Arabidopsis thaliana: one gene and its partners. Each later gene encodes a partner of the first gene's protein in a complex. Each region holds a gene or a part of one and is shown in the gene's direction. Other genes may lie near its edges.

Evidence for each region.
Region 2: AT3G18500 (region 1) and AT1G31500 share a complex: the UniProt entries of both Arabidopsis thaliana proteins name them as parts of the CCR4-NOT complex.
Region 3: AT3G18500 (region 1) and AT1G61470 share a complex: the UniProt entries of both Arabidopsis thaliana proteins name them as parts of the CCR4-NOT complex.
Region 4: AT3G18500 (region 1) and AT2G32070 share a complex: the UniProt entries of both Arabidopsis thaliana proteins name them as parts of the CCR4-NOT complex.

Annotation. Positions count from the first base shown.
Region 1 is NC_003074.8:6,350,442-6,355,954, forward strand, and holds AT3G18500 (DNAse I-like superfamily protein), read left to right. Parts: upstream 1-2,030; 5' UTR 2,031-2,102; coding exon 2,103-2,415; intron 2,416-2,589; coding exon 2,590-2,759; intron 2,760-2,829; coding exon 2,830-2,895; intron 2,896-3,060; coding exon 3,061-3,113; intron 3,114-3,206; coding exon 3,207-3,288; intron 3,289-3,375; coding exon 3,376-3,465; intron 3,466-3,761; coding exon 3,762-3,854; intron 3,855-3,937; coding exon 3,938-3,970; intron 3,971-4,057; coding exon 4,058-4,164; intron 4,165-4,255; coding exon 4,256-4,367; intron 4,368-4,444; coding exon 4,445-4,530; intron 4,531-4,626; coding exon 4,627-4,711; intron 4,712-4,796; coding exon 4,797-4,856; 3' UTR 4,857-5,005; downstream 5,006-5,513. Other genes in the region: ASPG1 (Eukaryotic aspartyl protease family protein), read right to left, coding at 1-151; AT3G18510 (ATP-dependent helicase/nuclease subunit), read left to right, coding at 5,270-5,377, 5,448-5,513. UniProt on the Arabidopsis thaliana protein: Acts as a catalytic component of the CCR4-NOT core complex, which in the nucleus seems to be a general transcription factor, and in the cytoplasm the major mRNA deadenylase involved in mRNA turnover.
Region 2 is NC_003070.9:11,273,102-11,278,408, reverse strand, and holds AT1G31500 (DNAse I-like superfamily protein), read left to right. Parts: upstream 1-1,780; 5' UTR 1,781-1,874; coding exon 1,875-1,930; exon of another isoform or gene 1,931-1,934; intron 1,935-2,227; coding exon 2,228-2,492; intron 2,493-2,679; coding exon 2,680-2,729; intron 2,730-3,057; coding exon 3,058-3,127; intron 3,128-3,343; coding exon 3,344-3,468; intron 3,469-3,555; coding exon 3,556-3,668; intron 3,669-3,812; coding exon 3,813-3,948; intron 3,949-4,025; coding exon 4,026-4,173; coding exon of another isoform or gene 4,174-4,179; exon of another isoform or gene 4,180-4,282; coding exon 4,283-4,588; 3' UTR 4,589-4,807; downstream 4,808-5,307. Other genes in the region: AT1G31510 (F-box associated ubiquitination effector family protein), read right to left, coding at 1-128, 201-260, 305-992. UniProt on the Arabidopsis thaliana protein: Acts as a catalytic component of the CCR4-NOT core complex, which in the nucleus seems to be a general transcription factor, and in the cytoplasm the major mRNA deadenylase involved in mRNA turnover.
Region 3 is NC_003070.9:22,676,182-22,679,825, forward strand, and holds AT1G61470 (Polynucleotidyl transferase, ribonuclease H-like superfamily protein), read left to right. Parts: upstream 1-1,910; 5' UTR 1,911-2,003; coding exon 2,004-2,840; 3' UTR 2,841-3,121; downstream 3,122-3,644. Other genes in the region: AT1G61460 (G-type lectin S-receptor-like Serine/Threonine-kinase), read right to left, coding at 1-267, 364-1,007; AT1G61475 (ATP binding / protein kinase), read right to left, coding at 3,589-3,644. UniProt on the Arabidopsis thaliana protein: Ubiquitous transcription factor required for a diverse set of processes. It is a component of the CCR4 complex involved in the control of gene expression.
Region 4 is NC_003071.7:13,640,001-13,643,924, reverse strand, and holds AT2G32070 (Polynucleotidyl transferase, ribonuclease H-like superfamily protein), read left to right. Parts: upstream 1-1,864; 5' UTR 1,865-2,047; intron 2,048-2,181; 5' UTR 2,182-2,268; coding exon 2,269-3,096; 3' UTR 3,097-3,331; downstream 3,332-3,924. Other genes in the region: PUR ALPHA-1 (purin-rich alpha 1), read left to right, coding at 1-200, 283-330, 515-658, 734-967, 1,057-1,209; AT2G32060 (Ribosomal protein L7Ae/L30e/S12e/Gadd45 family protein), read left to right, coding at 3,821-3,828. UniProt on the Arabidopsis thaliana protein: Ubiquitous transcription factor required for a diverse set of processes. It is a component of the CCR4 complex involved in the control of gene expression.

The DNA of each region.
Region 1 (5,513 bases):
GGATAGTTTGTGTTTGCTGGAGAGATGAAACGACGTCGAGTACGTTCGTTTTAGGTGGAGTGGATAGAGAGCGAGAGGAAGCATCAGTGGTGGTGAGGAAAAGAGAGAGAGTGACGACGGCGAGGAGAGAAAGAAATCGCGGGAAAGCCATTATTTCCGGCGAAGGTTGATATGAGTTAAGTGGAAGAGAGAAAGAGTAAGTAATGTTTTTAATTTATAGAGAGAAAAATAAATGCTGCGGAGAGAGTCACGCCAGAATTGCTGCGGTTATAAAAGCCACATCAATTATTTATCATCCTGTTAAAATATTTGGATTCACATTATCATCGATCGGTAAAAAAACTTTATGGTTGGATATTATATTTTATATATACAAAAATAAATTAAATAAGAAGTCTTAATCTGGATTTATCATATGATTCCCAACATAGCGTTACATTTATACCGAATCAAATAAAAATTTAGACAAATGTAATTTGAGAATTGTGTTTATTTGTTATTGGCACCGAAAGAAGAATTTGTACTTTGTAGAATTCAACACAAAACTATAGCATAGTGTCTGTAGTCTGTACGGACGAGAGTAGAAACTGTAGAAGATAGGGATTTGACCTACTAAATATTTTAATACAAGTCTACAAGCGATTATCCAATATTAAGCTCCTAGAGATGTGTGACTACAGAGTACTTAAGTGTTTATTTATTGCAATGACCTTTGGATACAAAGTACTCCTATATTGTTAACCAATTCACTTTTAATTTTTTTTACGTGACCAAAGCTAAGATCTTATCTAGAAAACTAAAAGCTTTCTGTCCTTTTGTTATATTCGGGCTTCAAAACTTTGTACCTTCTTCTTACCATCGCTGTCGAGAGAAAAGTCAGCAGAAGTTTTGGAAACTATTAGTTATAGGGATCGAATTATCTTAATCATCTACGATCATGTCATTTTGTGTTGGATATTTGTTAATGCTTGTACATTTCTAAAAAAACATGTGTTGTATATTAGCTAATGTCAATATGTGGTGCATATTTGCTAAGTTGCCGTGGAAATAACAAAAACTTAAAATTTTGCTAAGTACTGTACTTTTTTTTTTTTGTGATTGCAATTTGCTTAAGGTGATTGATGAACGAAGGCTATATGTAAAAACTGGAAAGGAGTGAATCAATGTGAGAAGTGGGTGAGTTGTTACTTCGTTAGAAGAGAGATTTGGGTTTATTTCGCTTTCCCTGAATTAATGGTAACGCACCCTTTTGGCTTTGGTTGTTGCGTGTCATTTATTTCTCTTTTGTTTTTAATCTTGTTATATCCATTTTCTTATACCTACTTTACTTTTTTTCCATAAAATGAGATTATGCAATTCAATCAGTAATGTTTTAAATCGCATACACTTTTATATTTAACAATATGCCTTCACTAATTTGTATTTCAAGATTAGTTAGTGATATTTTATAGTAAAGTTTAAAGAACATTATAATGTAGACGCAATCATAGAGTTTTTCTTTGTCAAAGGCAATATTGCAACAAAAAAAAAGGTAGAAACGAAGACATTTTTTTTTTTGTGTGTGTAATCAGTAATCGCCTTACACAAAAAGACATATACTTTTTTGTGTAAGGTTTTTTTTTTTTGAGCTACTATCACTAAATTTGAAATCAAATAATTGATACTCCAATAAAAGTAGAAATAATATCATAGTATATGAAAAAACAAAAAAAAATTACAAGGACGATGAAAGAAAAAACAAAATCTCATAACTCAAAATCAAATATCATCTCCAAGTTCTTAACATGATAAAACTAGACTAAAATAAAAACTGACATCCTACTAAAATTAGAAACAAAATGACATAAATTGAAATCAAACTCACAAAAAAAAACAATAGACATTAAAACAAAAAATCCGAATAACAAAAAACAGGATCTCAGCTAAACAAGGCCTGGTGTAGTATACTAGTATTGGCCCATGGCCCATGGTTTGGTATTTTTTTTTCTCTGACCAAAGGAAGAAAAAAAAAAAGATATTTATCCGTATGGCGCCAAGAGGTTTGTGTGGTTTTCGATTTCATCCAAATTTCTGAATTTCGTCTCTAACATCCACAAAATCGAATGCGTTGTGTGAATCGCGTTGATTGTTCTTGGTCACGGCCAAGCGAAGCTTACCGTATCTTACCCTCCGGTGGTCACCTTTCATCTGGATTCCATCAATGTCCTTTATCGTCTCTATCTTTCCGTTCCTCTTTCGTGTGTTGCTCCTCCTCCACATCTGGACCGTCCGATTCAAATCCCGAATCATCTTCAAATCGCTCTTACAGCCGTAGATGGCAGAATCCTCTTCCCCGGCGTCAACATCCCGATCAAATACCGTCTTCTCAGATTGCTCGTGATTGGATCGATTCAGATACAACTCCAGTTTCTCAAGGTAGTTTAATAATGATCTTATGGAAAAACTCTGCTCTTACTTATGAATTTGTGAACTAGTTAGGATTTAGTAAATTAGAGATATTAGTAATAGCTTGAGTTACTGTTTGTCCATGAAGCTTGTGAAATTGTGGATGCCTTTGGATCTTACTAGTGTGTCTCTATGTAATATTAGCTTTAGAGAGATTCACTGTAGTGTCGTACAACATATTGGGAGATGGAAATTCATCATATCACAGAGAGTTGTACTCCAATGTGTCTGTTCCTTACCTCAAGTGGGGCTACCGCAAAAGGTTGATATGCGAAGAACTCATTCGTCTCAATCCAGACATAATCTCTATGCAGGTAATGAACTTTACCTTGTTTTATATCGTGTTAAGATAGTTAAGTTGATTTTGTTTGTGGACCTTTGTAGGAAGTAGATAAATATTTTGATCTATTCAGTATGATGGAGAAAGCTGGATATGCTGGCTCCTATAAGGTTGATGTATTTCCTTGTTCAATGAAAAATTTTATGCTTATAAGATTAATGGGGTAAAATGTAAGACATGGTTTGTCGGTTGGTTTTATTTACCTTTTCGTCTGAAGCCTCAACAAAAGTTGTGTTTATATAGAAGGACTACAAATATAAGCTTTGCAATGGCAGCGGCGAACTGGAGATAACGTCGATGGTTGCGCAATGTTTTGGAAGGCTGACAGGTAGCACATATTGTTTGACTCAATCTGTATTAGTGTGAAGAAAAACGACTACTACAACTCAGCATTGTTTAAGATTTATCTTGTTTTCAAAAGGTTTGGAGTTTTGGAGAGGGAAAACATTGAGTTTAGCCAGTTTGGTATGCGGGATAATGTTGCACAGCTTGCTGTTCTTGAGGTAGAAATTTTTTTTGAATGTTTTACGAACTTCTTTTTTCATGTATATGCTTTGACTGATCCAGTTTTTTTTTGGGTTTCCCGTCAGCTCCGGAAGTCTAATAAGTCAAGAAAGATACTGCTGGGTAACATTCACGTGCTTTATAATCCAAATCAAGGAGATGTGAAGCTGGGTCAGGTAAGCCTCGACATTTCAATTTGTATATCCGCTACACGAGCAATTGACTGTCATGAAAGTTTACAAAATGTTGATCTGGCCCTTTCACCTTTGGCTTTAAGACTTCAGGAAATTGTACTGAATCTCAGTCAAGAGATGTTTACTAGCATTAGTTTAAATATCTAAGACAAGTCTAAGTTACTAGTATATGTCATGACATGTTCATTAGTATATGTCCTAATGCTCATGAAAACGTATTGAATTCGTGGCTTATGTTTTTTCTTGAGTTCCTGATTTGCCTTGTTCTTGACTGATAGGTCCGTTCACTCTGCTCAAAGGCTCACTTGCTCTCTAAGAAATGGGGTGACATTCCCATTGTTCTATGCGGAGATTTCAATAGCACTCCCAAGGTACGTATCTTTTCAAATAAACTCTTCCACTTTGGTTTGTGTATTTGTTTATTCATTGTTTGAGTTTATCTTATTACGTGTAGAGTCCATTGTACAACTTCTTGGCGTCCTCTGAGGTATGACTATTCATAGTTTTGCTTCAGTCAAACTACACTGTGTCCTCTTGTAGTTTCTTTAAATAGGATTATGCTTCTATCTTACAGCTGAATGTCATGGAACATGACAAAAAAGAGCTGTCCGGCCAGAAAAATTGTCGTCCTACCAAAGTTCTTGAAACTGGTAGCAAATCCAGTAATACAATAACTTTCAGGTAAGATTGTTTTTTGAAGATTTAATCAGTTCTGTGAATGGTTGTCTTGTGACTGCCTGCTGGAATAGCCATTGTGTTCACACACTAGTAGAAGTTTTTGTAGCTCTTGGACAAAAGAAGAGATCCGTGTCGCAACCGGGCAAGAGAACTCGTACTGGGCTGCGCATCCTCTGAAACTCAATAGCTCATACGCCTCAGTTAAGGTAACAAACAAAGCTTTAATGTCCCTGTCTATATATGACAAGACCTTAAATTTGCTCATGAACATGGTACACAACAGGGCTCAGCAAATACCAGGGACTCTGTTGGTGAACCTCTAGCAACCTCATATCACTCGAAATTTCTCGGAACGGTTGATTATCTCTGGTAAAACATTCTAAACACAACCAAAACTCAAATGGACAAATTTAATATTTGGCTGATGAAGTAACTAATTAGAAATACATGTGTGGTCTGGTTAAGGTACTCTGATGGTCTTTTACCTGCAAGAGTTCTTGACACACTTCCTATTGATGTTCTATGCAAAACCAAAGGCCTTCCTTGTCAAGTATGTCTTTCTATCAAACAGTTTAGATTTGGTGAGGTCATTTCTATGATTGATGCTTAAAGCCTTATTCGTCTTTGGTTTGCAGGAATTGGGAAGCGATCACTTGGCTCTTGTTTCTGAATTTGTCTTTGAACCGGACGGTTAAAGGCATCTAGTGCCAGCTTAGTTTTCTTTGAACCGAACCGTTATAAATGTGTTTTTATTAAATGTATAAGCGTACCGAAATTACCTGATCATGGTTCTATATCAAACCGACTTCTCGATAAATAAATAAAAATTGAGACGATCAGAAGCTTCAATCTTGTGTGCGTATTGGGTCACTAGGATATTAAATCGACTTCTTCGAACGTAATTTAAAGTGAGAGAACCAGTTTACTTGATTCTGGATCTAAACCGAAGCGGACATAAGCTTGGTTTAAATGTACCAAAAAGAAAGAATTGAACCAATTGGTACGGTTCTAATCTTGGTTCCGGTAAAATGAAAAGGAATTCTAAAGAGATTGAGAGCTGTAAAGTTGGAATCGAAGGAAGAAGAGACAAGAGAAAGTGAGGAAATTAATGGCGTTGAGCTCAATGACATGGGGTTACGCACGGATCATAGCTGGAACACTTCTCGGCGGGGCCCTCGGATTCTACGTAATGCATCGCATCGAAGTTAGCTACAAGGTCTGTTTCTTCTCTCTGTCTTCCTATGAGAAAGCTTGTGCTCGACCTTAGACTGTTGGGTTTTACGCAGATGAGGATGGAGGAAGCGTTGAATCAATACGAGAAGGATATGCAGAAGAGACAAGAAGAAGAAAAT
Region 2 (5,307 bases), on another chromosome or scaffold:
CTTATTCTTCTTCCTCTTAATTACCTCGAAAAGCCTGGAACCGGAAGTAAGCTTGGGACATATATAGTAGCAACCAGGACCACCAATTGAAGACTCCATAGAAGAGTAACATTCAACTTTCGGGCATTCTTATGTCTCTCCCACAACGTAGATGCTAATTGACCTAGTTACAAAGTGACGAATATATAGCAGAATCTTACCATTGTTCTCAATGAAGTGACTTGGATATATTGGAAACTTGGGAAGTTGAGCTATAGAAACTGTCATTAACCTACTCCAATGCTTCTTCATCAGTATATCTTACCTGCTAAGTGCGGTTCACGTAACAAAGAAAGATGATCTCCACGGAAAATCCCTAAAGAAAGAGAATCTTTCCACTGGATCCCGATGGATGAGTGATGAAGAGACTCGAACAAGGTCTCAAATCTCTCTTTTGAGAAATCGAAACTTTGTATCGAAACGGTACCGTAGATATTATAACCTATCCAATAAGGAGTTCCTCCTATACACACACTTGACAATGGTAGTCGAAAGAACCCATGGAAGGTTTTATCAACAACAACAACCTTCCAACAATCAGATTTGAAATCGTAGATTTCAACACTTAAATTATTAGGACACCGAAACCTAACCATTTTGTAATCATTACAACCACTTGGTGACTCGTTACTAATGTATCCAAGACCATATGCATCGATGGAATGGTCAAACTCAAAGCTATAGCCACATTTGATCCATCTTGCTTCTTTCAACAACGGATTGGAAACTAAAATTTTGGTTCCCATGACCATTAGCAATAGACCATCACAATGAAACATGTTGTGCTCCAATAAATCCGAAGATGAAAGCGGTTTAAAAACCTGAAAATTTAAACTAGGTTTGTTGTTGAAATCCATACCGATACAAGAAATTGTTGAGCACAATGGAGAAACTGTGGCCGGAACGTAATTGAAGACTGTGAATATCGGTTCAAGACCATGCATGTGAGACATGTGCTTGTTGACGAATATCGGTTCTGTGATTAGTGTTTTCCATTGCTTGCATGTCCTCTACCAAATTAGTTTGTAGTATGTCCTTTACCAAATTAGTTTGTAGTATTATATTTGGGTTTGTTATTTTCAATTTAGGGTATATATTTTTATTATTAAAAACTTTTTTGATTCAATTTAATATTAGATTAATGTTTGCTCTCATTTTTATTTGGGGGATTGATACAAATAGTAATAAAAAAAACTTTATTATTTAATTAATTTATAGAGGATTAAAAATTTTATATGCTATTTTGGAAATTTCAAAAAAAAGGTGTCATTTTTTGGAATAATAAAGTTTTTTAGTGTCATTTACGTCAATCCCCTTGTTATATTAATATTGGTGTGAAGCTTTTTGGGAAATATATCTATAATTTCTCATCTTATAAAGTTTTATGCTCAAGTGAGTGTTAGTATGGAAATTTTTAATTCGCAATAGTGTATATTGGTCCGTAATGGTGAATTAGTTAAATATCGATTAATTAGATTTTAGTCTGGTACACAACCATTTATAGACTAAATATCTGACAGTAAATGATTTAGAAACTCATACTAACTTATATAGTTATATATATAGGTGCTTTGGGAATTTTTGAAAATTTTGGGTTTTGGATTTTGACGTTGATTTCGATTGGATTTTTATTTGTTGGAAAGTAAATGAACCTACTAATGACCTATTTTTGGTTCTAAAGTTCCAATAAATAAAATGAAGGCTCACTAACTACTTTAATATAAAGACAGGGAGCAAATGATAATTATCGAATTCTTCACTATTTTATTTGAAAACCCACAAGAGTTTCTTCAATCTAAAGCCAAATTGGGTTAAGTCAATTGTTGTCACTATAGATGTTTAGTTCTACAACTCTGCATCATCTTCCTCGTCCGAATCTTCTTCTTCCCAGGTGGGTTTCTTCGTTTCTGTATCAATCAATATACAGTTTCATTTTCTGTAATCTCAAGTTTCGTATTTAGTAATGCAACTAAATTGATCGTCTCTGTTCATTGTCATTGGGCAATTTCGTTGAGGAATACAATTTGTTTAGAAATTTCTCATCTTTATATTGGAACCAATCCTCTAGAATCTCGAATTTATCTGGGCTGTAATTGAAATTTTATGGGGAATTAAATCAGCTTCTTAATTTTGACCTAAATATTGATGTTCAAGGATTGTTTTTTTTCCTGACCCTTTGATTCAACAGCTCTCGTGTCTGCAGGAAAGTTATTTCGAGAAGAATGAGTACGAATCCTGCAATTGAACCAAAAGTTCGCAAATTTGAATCTGTTGAAGGAGTTGATATTGGTTCAAGAAATAAATCCGATGGTTTTTTTGCTATTCCTCTTTACTTATCAAAGCTTGTGGCTTTATATAACTGTATAAGTTTAAGTAGAATTGGTACTAGTAATGAGAATTTTGTGTTTTCAGGTATCAGATTCCGTCTTGTTTCATATAACATATTAGCTCAGGTAAGAAATAATCAAGCTTTTTAATCTCTCATATGCTTTGTGATATTTTGTAGCTTAATATTTGGACGAATTTTGTAGTTTTAAACGATCTTACGAATTTCTGAGCTTGATTTATAGATACAGACAGTTCTTTTAGCTCTTTCCTTTGTTGAGTTTCTTATCTATTTGAGCTTTATATTTCTTGTAGGTTTATGTGAAGAGTGCACTTCTCCCACACTCTCCACCTGCCTGTCTCAAGTAATTATTTTTCTCTACATTTCTCAGTTTCGAGATCAAATTTACTTATACTAGTCAAGAGTTCTTTCTGTGAGTTGTGTAATCAATGGCCTGGAGTATAGTCAAGATTTGCTTCAGAAAACAACAATGGATTCTATGAATGTTTAGGAACTTAGCTATAAGCAGGCAATATTGTGTTTGGTCTTACCCACGTTAATTATCCATTACCCAATATGTACTTTGGATTTAGCGATATATTAACTTTGTTAAAATATTAGGGAATGGTGCTTCTTAAAGGGTTATGGTTTTGTAGTAAATGTGACTTGGTCTTCCTTTTCTTGTGTTGCAGATGGAAAGCTCGTTCACATGCAATTCTCAGCGTTCTCAAAAATCTCCAGGCTGATTTCTTTTGTCTGCAGGTACTTTATTCTTGTGAAAACTTCTTCTTTTGTGTTTAGGTAGTATTGAGATACCCTTTTCGTATGAAACACAAAATTCATTCTTCTCTTTTGTTCAATCCATTAGACAAGCTCAGGCCTGTAAAAATGTTAGTGTTGTTTGTTCATAGGGCCTTTGAATTGTGTTTAACAAAAGGGTGTCTCCACTTGTTAGTTATATAGTTGCAATGCTCGCAGGAAGTAGATGAGTACGATAGCTTTTACAGAAATAACATGGACTCTCTGGGATATTCTGGGATTTATATTCAGAGAACCGGCCAGAGGAAGCGTGATGGTTGTGCAATCTTCTACAAGCCAAGCTGGTATGATAAAAACATTAAGCCTGACAAGACGTTAACTTAATGCAAAAACATCAATCTGATTGAAACAACACTCTTCTTTTGATTTAGTGCAGAGTTAGTCACAAAGGAACGGATCGAATATAATGATCTTGTGGACTCAATAAAAGCAGATAGTGTTTCCTGCAGCGAACAGAAGATTGAGACATCCAACGAAGGAAAAGGTGATGAGAAAGCGAAAGATAAATTTGTCCTTTTGGAGGAAAAGAAAGCAAATACTTTGTGCTGTTTCTTTATATCTCAACATCATTACTAACTTTTATCTATGTTCTCTTCACATGTTTCCACAAATCTGCCCCAAACAAAAGATTCTCGAAAAGACAGTCGTGACCTTAATGATCCACTAGTGAGACTAAAACGTGATTGCGTTGGAATAATGGCTGCTTTTAGGATCAACAAGCCGTTTCAGCATATCGTTATCGTGGCAAACACACATCTTTACTGGTAAAAATACTTGTCACCGATTGAAGATTATCTTTTACCACCCTTTAAACTTTCATCTCATGTTTACTTATCTCTAGGGACCCTGAATTGGCTGATGTCAAGCTTGCTCAAGCCAAGTATCTACTGTCACGACTAGCTCAGTTCAAAACACTAATATCAGATGAATTTGAGTGCACACCTTCATTGCTACTAGCTGGCGACTTCAATTCAATTCCTGGGGATATGGTTTGATTCAGTTTCTTACATTGAGTTTCCCTAATTGTTCAATCTATTTGCAAAATCAAAAGATTGGGTTTACGGTGGTAAAATCCTGATACTTGTCGTCGTTTTCCAGGTTTATAGTTACCTAGTATCGGGTAATGCTAAACCCACAGAGACCATAGAAGAAGAAGAAGCTCCAGTTCCTCTGTCTAGTGTCTATGAAGTCACAAGAGGAGAGCCTAAGTTCACAAATTGCACTCCTGGCTTCACAAACACACTTGACTACATCTTCATCTCTCCTTCAGACTTCATTAAACCTGTGAGTATCCTTCAACTACCTGAGCCGGATTCTCCAGATGTTGTCGGTTTCTTACCGAATCATCATCACCCGAGTGATCATTTACCTATAGGAGCTGAGTTTGAGATTCGTCGGGAATAGGAAGTTTCGTTCTTTAGAAAGTTTTGTCGCATAACTCCATTGTTTCAGCATTTGAATATGGTTCTTGTAGAAATCATGAAGCAGTGAATCATACACACACAACACAAAGTATTAAAGGACTTGGATCATTTTTGTCTCAATAAACTCGAAATTTTCGTTGTGTGCATTGAATTACTGAGAATATTTGAATTTTCTTGAGAAGAAATTGTTTAATGTGTCTTGTTTATTGCACTCATAAAATAACATAAGAATTGGTTCTATTATTCTGTAGTCAACTAGACAAAAACAATAGAAGATTTAGTGAAATGACATGTTAATATCATATGATGATCTCGTTTCAATTTGTTGAATAAAGTTGCAACAAAATTAGGTCAAGCATTGATCTGTTTTATCTATCAACCACTAAAGTTTGTACTATCGCACCAACTTATAATAATAAATCATAATTTTGAGTACGAACGAATATTCTTTTACAGTCTCACCTTTCACCGATAATTTGAACCATTGTTATTGAATAAAGTCGTACTCTTCAAACTTTTATCCAAAATGACAGTGATGTAATGTTATGTTCCAAAAACATAAGATTTTTTCAAAACGGATAGTGATCATTCCTTTGAATATATAATCACAAACAACCGAACAAAAATATTATATTTTCTATGCTTATTATATGTTCTTATAAATAAATATCATTTAGCATAAGCTTCCCTTGAGAACCT
Region 3 (3,644 bases), on another chromosome or scaffold:
GTTGAGTTTTCCTGACAATGTAGTTTGGTACGCCTCACACAACCATCAGTCCAATTTCCTCTTTTCCACTCCTCAATATATTTTGGTATAAACCCTTTGAAGCATTTACACACTGACTTGACACAAATCCCAAAAGGTCCACATACACCGTAATAATCACATGAGTGCGCTGGAGCCACAAAGTTCAATACCCAATCAGTCCCACTATGCCTAGAAATCTCCAGTGAACCCTTCGATGTTATCACTATACGTGGAAGTTTGAAGTTTCTGTTTAAATAAGTAAGGGATCCTGACCCGTTTGCATCTTGCTAAAGGCTTAATGGATTTGTAAATGAATCATCCATTAGTGGTACCCCCGTGAACCTTGTTTTAGCCCATGGACCGCTTCTCCAATAAGGCTTCGAGCCTCTCATAGTTAAAGCTTGTGTTGGCACTTGCGTTGTAATCTGAAGCACAAAGTCACCAACCGCTGGATTAGTGTAACTTTTCCAAGAAGTCAAGACCTGCTTCTCGCCAGTGGCGAGGTTATACATCAGAGCTGAGAAAGGAAGCATAGTATCACCAAGATGGTCAAAGCTTTGCCAAAGAGTTCTTCCCGAAAAATTGTCTATGACAATAAGATTTCCGGTGTCTGAAAGCTCTGCACGAGACCCGTTAGAAGCAAGAGTTTCACCACTGGACCATGCAACGCCATGTTTTCCATTATATAACAGAAGACTTGCGTTGCTGCTGATAGCGAGATTTGCTGTGGAATCTGTAACAGGATTTTCTCTATTGGCCACCCACACAACCACCCGGGGAATGATTCCCTTGAACCAGATTCCAAGATAATGATTTTCCGAGTTATTAAAACTGAAGAAACCCAATTCATAAACTCCATTAGAGGAGCTGAGAGTTTGTCCTATTGACAAAGGACTCTCTTTGTTTATCCCTGCAATTGCAAAGCTAAAACTTATAAAGATGGTATTGGTAAATAAGAGCAAAGAAGCAAAGAACGTGATCCTCATCGTCCCCGTTTGTTTGTTTTTTTCTTTCTCCAATAACTATCTTTTTTGGATTAGTGTGTATGAAGCAAGAGAGCCGGGGAAAAAAAAAACACTGTGTCTTGTCAGAACTACTTTACTTATTTTCCAAAAATATGCATTATTTAATAAATACATGATAGATACATTGGCACGAAGAAGTCATTACCGTATCAGATACGCAACGTTTTCATTGTTCCAGTCCTTACTAGCTTGTTAGGCCCAGAAGAACCTATATTTTTCTTGAACTGCAGACTATGAATTATCTCGTTTAGGCATTTCCTCGAACACTTGCAGTGCATAACAAAAAGTCAGAGCTTCGGTGATGTCTTGAAGACCTTAATGACCCCAATCGATTGATTCGTACTCCAACCATATGGGCTTAACTGTCACTATCCAAAAGCAGCCGAATAATTCAACAGTCAAGATTGACTTGTGTCAGTGTATGACAGGTTGCTTGACTTGTGTCGTCAAGCCACTAACCCAGAGAAGAACCTTCCGGGAAGACTTAAAATAAAGTCTTTTGTCAATTTCGTGTATTTCGGGATGGAAAATTAGACTTTAATTTGTAATAGGAATTTAATTCGGTTTAGCGTTGAAATCGTAAACCGCTTCGGAAACAAGGCTTTTGAGTTTTGAGAGAGAAATTAGAATTTAATTCGGTTCGGGCAAGGAATTTAATTCGGTTTAGTGTTAAAAATTGAAAACCGCTTCGGAACCACGCGTTTTTTTGTTTTTGAATTTTAAGAGAAAAATTGAAAACTCGTGTTTAACAAGAATTAGGAGTCAAAAAAGTCAACACGAACTTTTGATGGAAAAAAAATGAAAACTTTATAGTATCCTAAAAATAAGGAAACTGAAGTCGGTGTCTTAATCTAATCCCTATAAATTCTCTAATAATATAACGCCAACCAAATAAAATTCATTTGTTATCTCACTTTCTCTTTCAGATAAACAAACAGTTTCTTAGTTTCGTTCGAGATGAGCGGTGAAGTTTGGAGATGGAACAAGCAAGCAGAGATGAATTCGATAAGAGATTGTTTGAAACATTGTAATTCCATCGCTATCGACACAGAGTTTCCCGGATGCTTAAAGGAGACTCCCATGGACGCAAGTGATGAAATTCGTTATAGAGACATGAAATTCAATGTGGACAACACCCATCTCATCCAGTTAGGGTTAACGCTATTCGGCAAAGGAATCACTAAAACCTGGGAGATCAACTTGTCAGATTTCAACGAATCTAAGAGCTTGAAAAATGATAAATCTATAGCGTTTTTAAAAAACAATGGTTTGGATCTGGATAAGATCAGAGAAGAAGGTATTGGAATCGAAGAGTTCTTCATGGAGTTTTCTCAGATTCTCAATGAGAAACATGGAAAAATGAGATGGGTGACTTTTCAAGGCTCTTACGACAAAGCTTATCTACTTAAAGGTTTAACTAGAAAACCATTACCCGAGACTTCGAAAGAGTTTGATGAAACCGTCCAGCAGCTTTTGGGAAGGTTTGTTTATGATGTGAAGAAAATGGCTGGATTATGCAGCGGACTAAGTAGCCGTTTCGGACTACAGAGAATAGCGGATGTGTTGCAGATGAGGCGTGTTGGAAAAGCTCATCACGCTGGATCAGACAGCGAATTGACGGCTCGTGTCTTCACTAAGTTGATTTTCGATTTGGTCAATAGTAGAAAGGAGAGTACTGGAAGAAGAGCTGATGATCAGCAATATCAACTAGAGCAGCAGCAGCATCAGCAACAGCTTATGATGACTAGATGTTACATCCCGATACCGGTCCAAGGAAGGAACTACGTATTGTGATCCCTCAATGTTTAGCATGTCTTGTTGCTAGTATGCAAATTCTTTCTTTATATGCTTAGGATTTAACTTTCAGCTTTTATTGTCCATCAAAACAATTCTCTCAATATTATGACTATTGCTCTTTAGTAAATACTTTAATGAATCTAAAGTTAGAATCTACTCAAAAGCCTCTCATGTAACATCTTTGTCTTGGAATTACTATCTATCAGTTTCCTCCGAATTGAGCTGAAGATATGTAACAAGCCCAGTTTTTTCCTTTTTCGCTATACACTAATCAAAATTTGGAATCTATGTGAAATATTTTGTTAGTACCAATTATGAGTTGTTTTGGTTGGAGTGTCACACTTTTCTCCTGTGGACTTGAGTTTCTTCTTCACTTTTAATACGTGCAAATTCAATCATGGCTCCCTTATTTAGATTTAAGGCATTGACTAATTCTACTTTTATACTATGAGGATATGATAGTATCTAACCAATGGAAACCCAAAATTATGAGCTCATTTGGCTCTGCAGATAAGCTCCTCACAAGATTAGACAATTCTGCTGGAGAACAACTGGAAATGCAAACTCTATAGTAAATCATTGGTCAACCAAATTGGAAGCTCATCTATAGTAATTTTCTCTATTTACTTAAGTGAAAAATCTTTTACAAAAAGCATGAAAGGTTAAGTTATATACATTCGAAAACTGATTCCTTTCGTGAACAATCAAACACACATTCACTCTACAGGTTTCATCACATAATCTCTTACCGCCCTAGGATCATAGAATGGGTCATCTCATTGACAGTGATCAACCTCTTAG
Region 4 (3,924 bases), on another chromosome or scaffold:
TGGAGCATAAGCTATTCTATTTTGATCTTAAGGAGAATCCTCGTGGAAGGTATCTAAAGATATCGGAGAAGACGTCGGCGACGAGGTCAACCATCATTGTTCCTTCCTCCGGCATCTCTTGGTTCCTTGATCTCTTCAACTACTATGTCAATTCTGAGGAACACGAGCTTTTTAGCAAAGAATTGCAGCTTGATTCCAAGGTTTCAACTTTATCATCACTCTCTTCTGGCGATCGTTGACTTTTCCACTCTCTTTAATTTCTGCTGTTGTTGCTTTATTCAGGTGTTTTACTTCGATATCGGTGAGAACAGAAGAGGACGCTTCTTGAAGGTAGAAATTTTTCTGTTTTACTTAATGAATCTGAAGTTTTTTTTCTTTGGTATATGTGAATTGAAGATTTAGGGAGTACTAGACTTATGGTTAGGAATGTTCTTTTCATTTTGGTTATGTGACTAATTATCCTGAGGTATCAGAAGTTGTAGGAATGTTCTGATGGGTTTTGGTGTGGTGTTAGGTGTCAGAAGCATCGGTTAGTAGAAATCGAAGTACCATTATTGTTCCAGCTGGAAGCTCTCCTGATGAAGGATGGGCAGCTTTCAGGAATATATTGGCTGAGATACATGAAGCATCAGGACTTTTTGTGATGCCAAATCAGGTGGTATTATCGTCTCCTTTGATTGAAAAGCCTTTAACTAAGTTCTCTGGTCTCATTGTATCTTCGTTTTGGAAACAGAAACCTTCTGATGGACAGGAACACTTGGTTGATGATGTTGGAGCTGGTTTTATACCTGGACATGGTAGTCAGCAGCCATCTTCTTCAGAACATAATGTGGATCGAACAATTGACTCGCCAGGCCAGGAAGAAACCGGAATGACTGGTGTTTCTAAAGTAATCAGAGCTGACCAGAAACGGTTCTTCTTTGATCTTGGGAACAATAACAGGGGCCATTTCTTAAGGATATCTGAGGTAATCTTGGAAGAACAATCTTTTGCTGGCTTATCTCTTGAGAGCTTGTATTTACCATGGTTTTAACATTAAAGCATTTCTCAATATAGGTGGCAGGTTCTGACAGGTCTTCCATCATTCTACCGTTATCGGGTCTTAAGCAGTTTCACGAAGTAATTGGTCACTTTGTGGAGATCACCAAAGATAAAATTGAAGGTATGACAGGTGCAAATGTCAGGACAGTTGATCCTCCTCAGAGATAAGTATTGATTCTCTTAGAGGATGGAAATTTTCAATCCTCTAACCATTTGAATCTGGCAACTTCAAGTCGACTGCCTGATCGCGGTGTGCAATAGTTTCACGTAATATCTCTCGCCCCTTCACATCTTCTAAAAATAATTCAGCAGGATCATCATTTGCCTTAATAGTAGATAAAACAAACTTTGGAGTCTGCAACTGGGAATAAGCTGAAAATCATCCACCATGTGTATCTCTCTCTCTCTCTCTCTCTCTCCCTCCCTCCCTCATTTGCTTCTGTTCTGTTTTAACTTTTTTTGTTTTTGTTCAGTTTGGGTCATTGGGTGTATATCTGTTGACGGCTTGATGCATTTCAATTGTAAAAGAATATTGGGGTTTATATGTTTGGGCTAATGCCTGTTGGAATAAAAGATGAAGTGTAAGTTCTATACATGAGTTACGAATTCTTTTTGGTTTTGTCTGAAAATGATTTAGTTCTACTACCAGAGGTTCTAAGAGCAGTTGCGAATTGTATATACTGTCCTAAGCATGCTTTGGTTAGACAAAAATTTCGATTTTTAGGTTAATCGAAAATGCCTCAATAATAAAAAAAAAAGAAAAAGAAATCAACGTTGCGTATAAAACAAGGGAGAAGATAAAAAAACAGCGTTTGTAAATAAAAAACAAAAACCCTAAAAAAAGGAGCAACTTTGGGCACAGTCCGAGAGAGAGAAAAAAATAAAAAATAATCTGTCGGTGATTTATAACCTCCTCTCTAATAAACCACCACATCCTCTGAAACCCTAGCCTGAACAACTCGCCGTCTTCTCGAGAAACATCTTTCTTACTTCGCTTCATTACAAGGTTCGAATCCAGCTGTCTCTCTTAGTATTTGTCTATGTATCTGTCGAGTTTCTCTGTTTTCATTGATTTATGTAAAATCAGAAGGTTTTGGTTTTTGTAAGTGATTCATTTGTTTTGTGTTAAATCTATTGCAGATCTGATGAAACCAGATCGGATCTTGCTCTAGATCCAGATGCTCCTTAACTTATTTACTCGAATTCATCATCATCGTTATCATCACCATGTCACTGTTTCTAAAAGACGATTCGATTCAAATCCGTGAAGTATGGAACGACAATCTCGAATCAGAGATGGCTCTGATTCGAGAAGTCGTAGACGATTTCCCATTCGTAGCGATGGACACAGAGTTCCCAGGAATCGTGTGTAGACCAGTGGGAACATTCAAAACCAACACAGAGTACCACTACGAAACTCTCAAAACAAACGTCAACATACTCAAGATGATTCAGCTTGGACTCACTTTCTCTGATGAGAAAGGTAACCTCCCAACTTGTGGAACAGACAACAAGTATTGCATCTGGCAGTTCAATTTCCGCGAATTCGACCTCGAATCCGATATCTACGCTACCGATTCGATCGAGCTTCTTCGTCAATCAGGCATCGATTTCGTGAAAAACAACGAATTCGGTATCGATTCGAAGCGGTTCGCTGAGCTTTTGATGTCTTCAGGGATTGTGTTGAATGAAAACGTTCATTGGGTTACATTCCACAGCGGATACGATTTCGGTTACTTGTTGAAGCTATTGACTTGTCAGAATCTTCCCGAGACGCAAACAGGGTTCTTCGAGATGATCAGTGTGTATTTCCCGAGGGTTTATGATATCAAACACTTGATGAAGTTCTGTAATAGTCTTCATGGAGGTCTGAATAAATTGGCGGAGCTGCTTGATGTTGAGAGAGTTGGGATTTGTCACCAGGCCGGATCGGATAGCTTGTTAACGTCGTGTACATTCAGGAAGCTGCAGGAGAATTTCTTCATTGGTTCAATGGAGAAGTATTCTGGTGTTTTGTATGGTTTAGGTGTTGAGAATGGTCAGATTGTTCATTGATAAAAGCTTAAAGTTTTAAACAGGTTATGTTATTTATTTTAGATTATTACATCATAGGTTGTTTTAAGAAGTGTATGATCACAAGAACTAAACTCTGATTTTGGTTTGGTATTGTGCTCTCTTACTTGTTTAAAGATAGCATCTCACTTAATTTATGAAAAAAAAAGTTTGATATATGTCCTTTTTCATCATATCTTAAAGATATTATCAAAGGTATACGTATTTGGCCTATTAATAAAATTTCACAATGTGTTAAAAGACTTAAAGGACAACATAAATTGTGGATTCTGTGAAGTGTTTAAACATTAAAGATGAAAATTGGGAAAGATTAAACAAACGACAGCGTTTTTTAAAAGGACCCAGATATTGAAGGAATGGCCCAGTAAAGCCCATTAAAGTAGAGCCCAGGTTCGTGACAAATCTGTTAAAATCGTATAATTCAGGGTTCGTAAAACCCTAATATATAACTTCGCTACTCATTTTTTGCTCTTCGTTGCAGCCTCTCTCTCTTTAAGGTTAGTCTCTTACTCACTTTTGCGTAGTTCCTCACTGAAAATTGATCTGTGTTCATGTATGTGATTGTCTTACTTTGTTCATCTTCCTCCGATTTGGTTGTGTAATTTCGATTTATGTATTTATTGAGACTGATTTGCTTCATTTCCTTGGCAGATTTGGAAAAGACCTTTGCTTCTCTTCGTTCGGAAAACCAGCTCAAAGATTCAATATGTCAGGGTAAGTTTCTCTTAAGATGCAGCTATATTGGATTCTTACTCCATTCTTAATATACTGAATCAATGGTTGATACATTATGGTTTAGAGTTTTAGTTT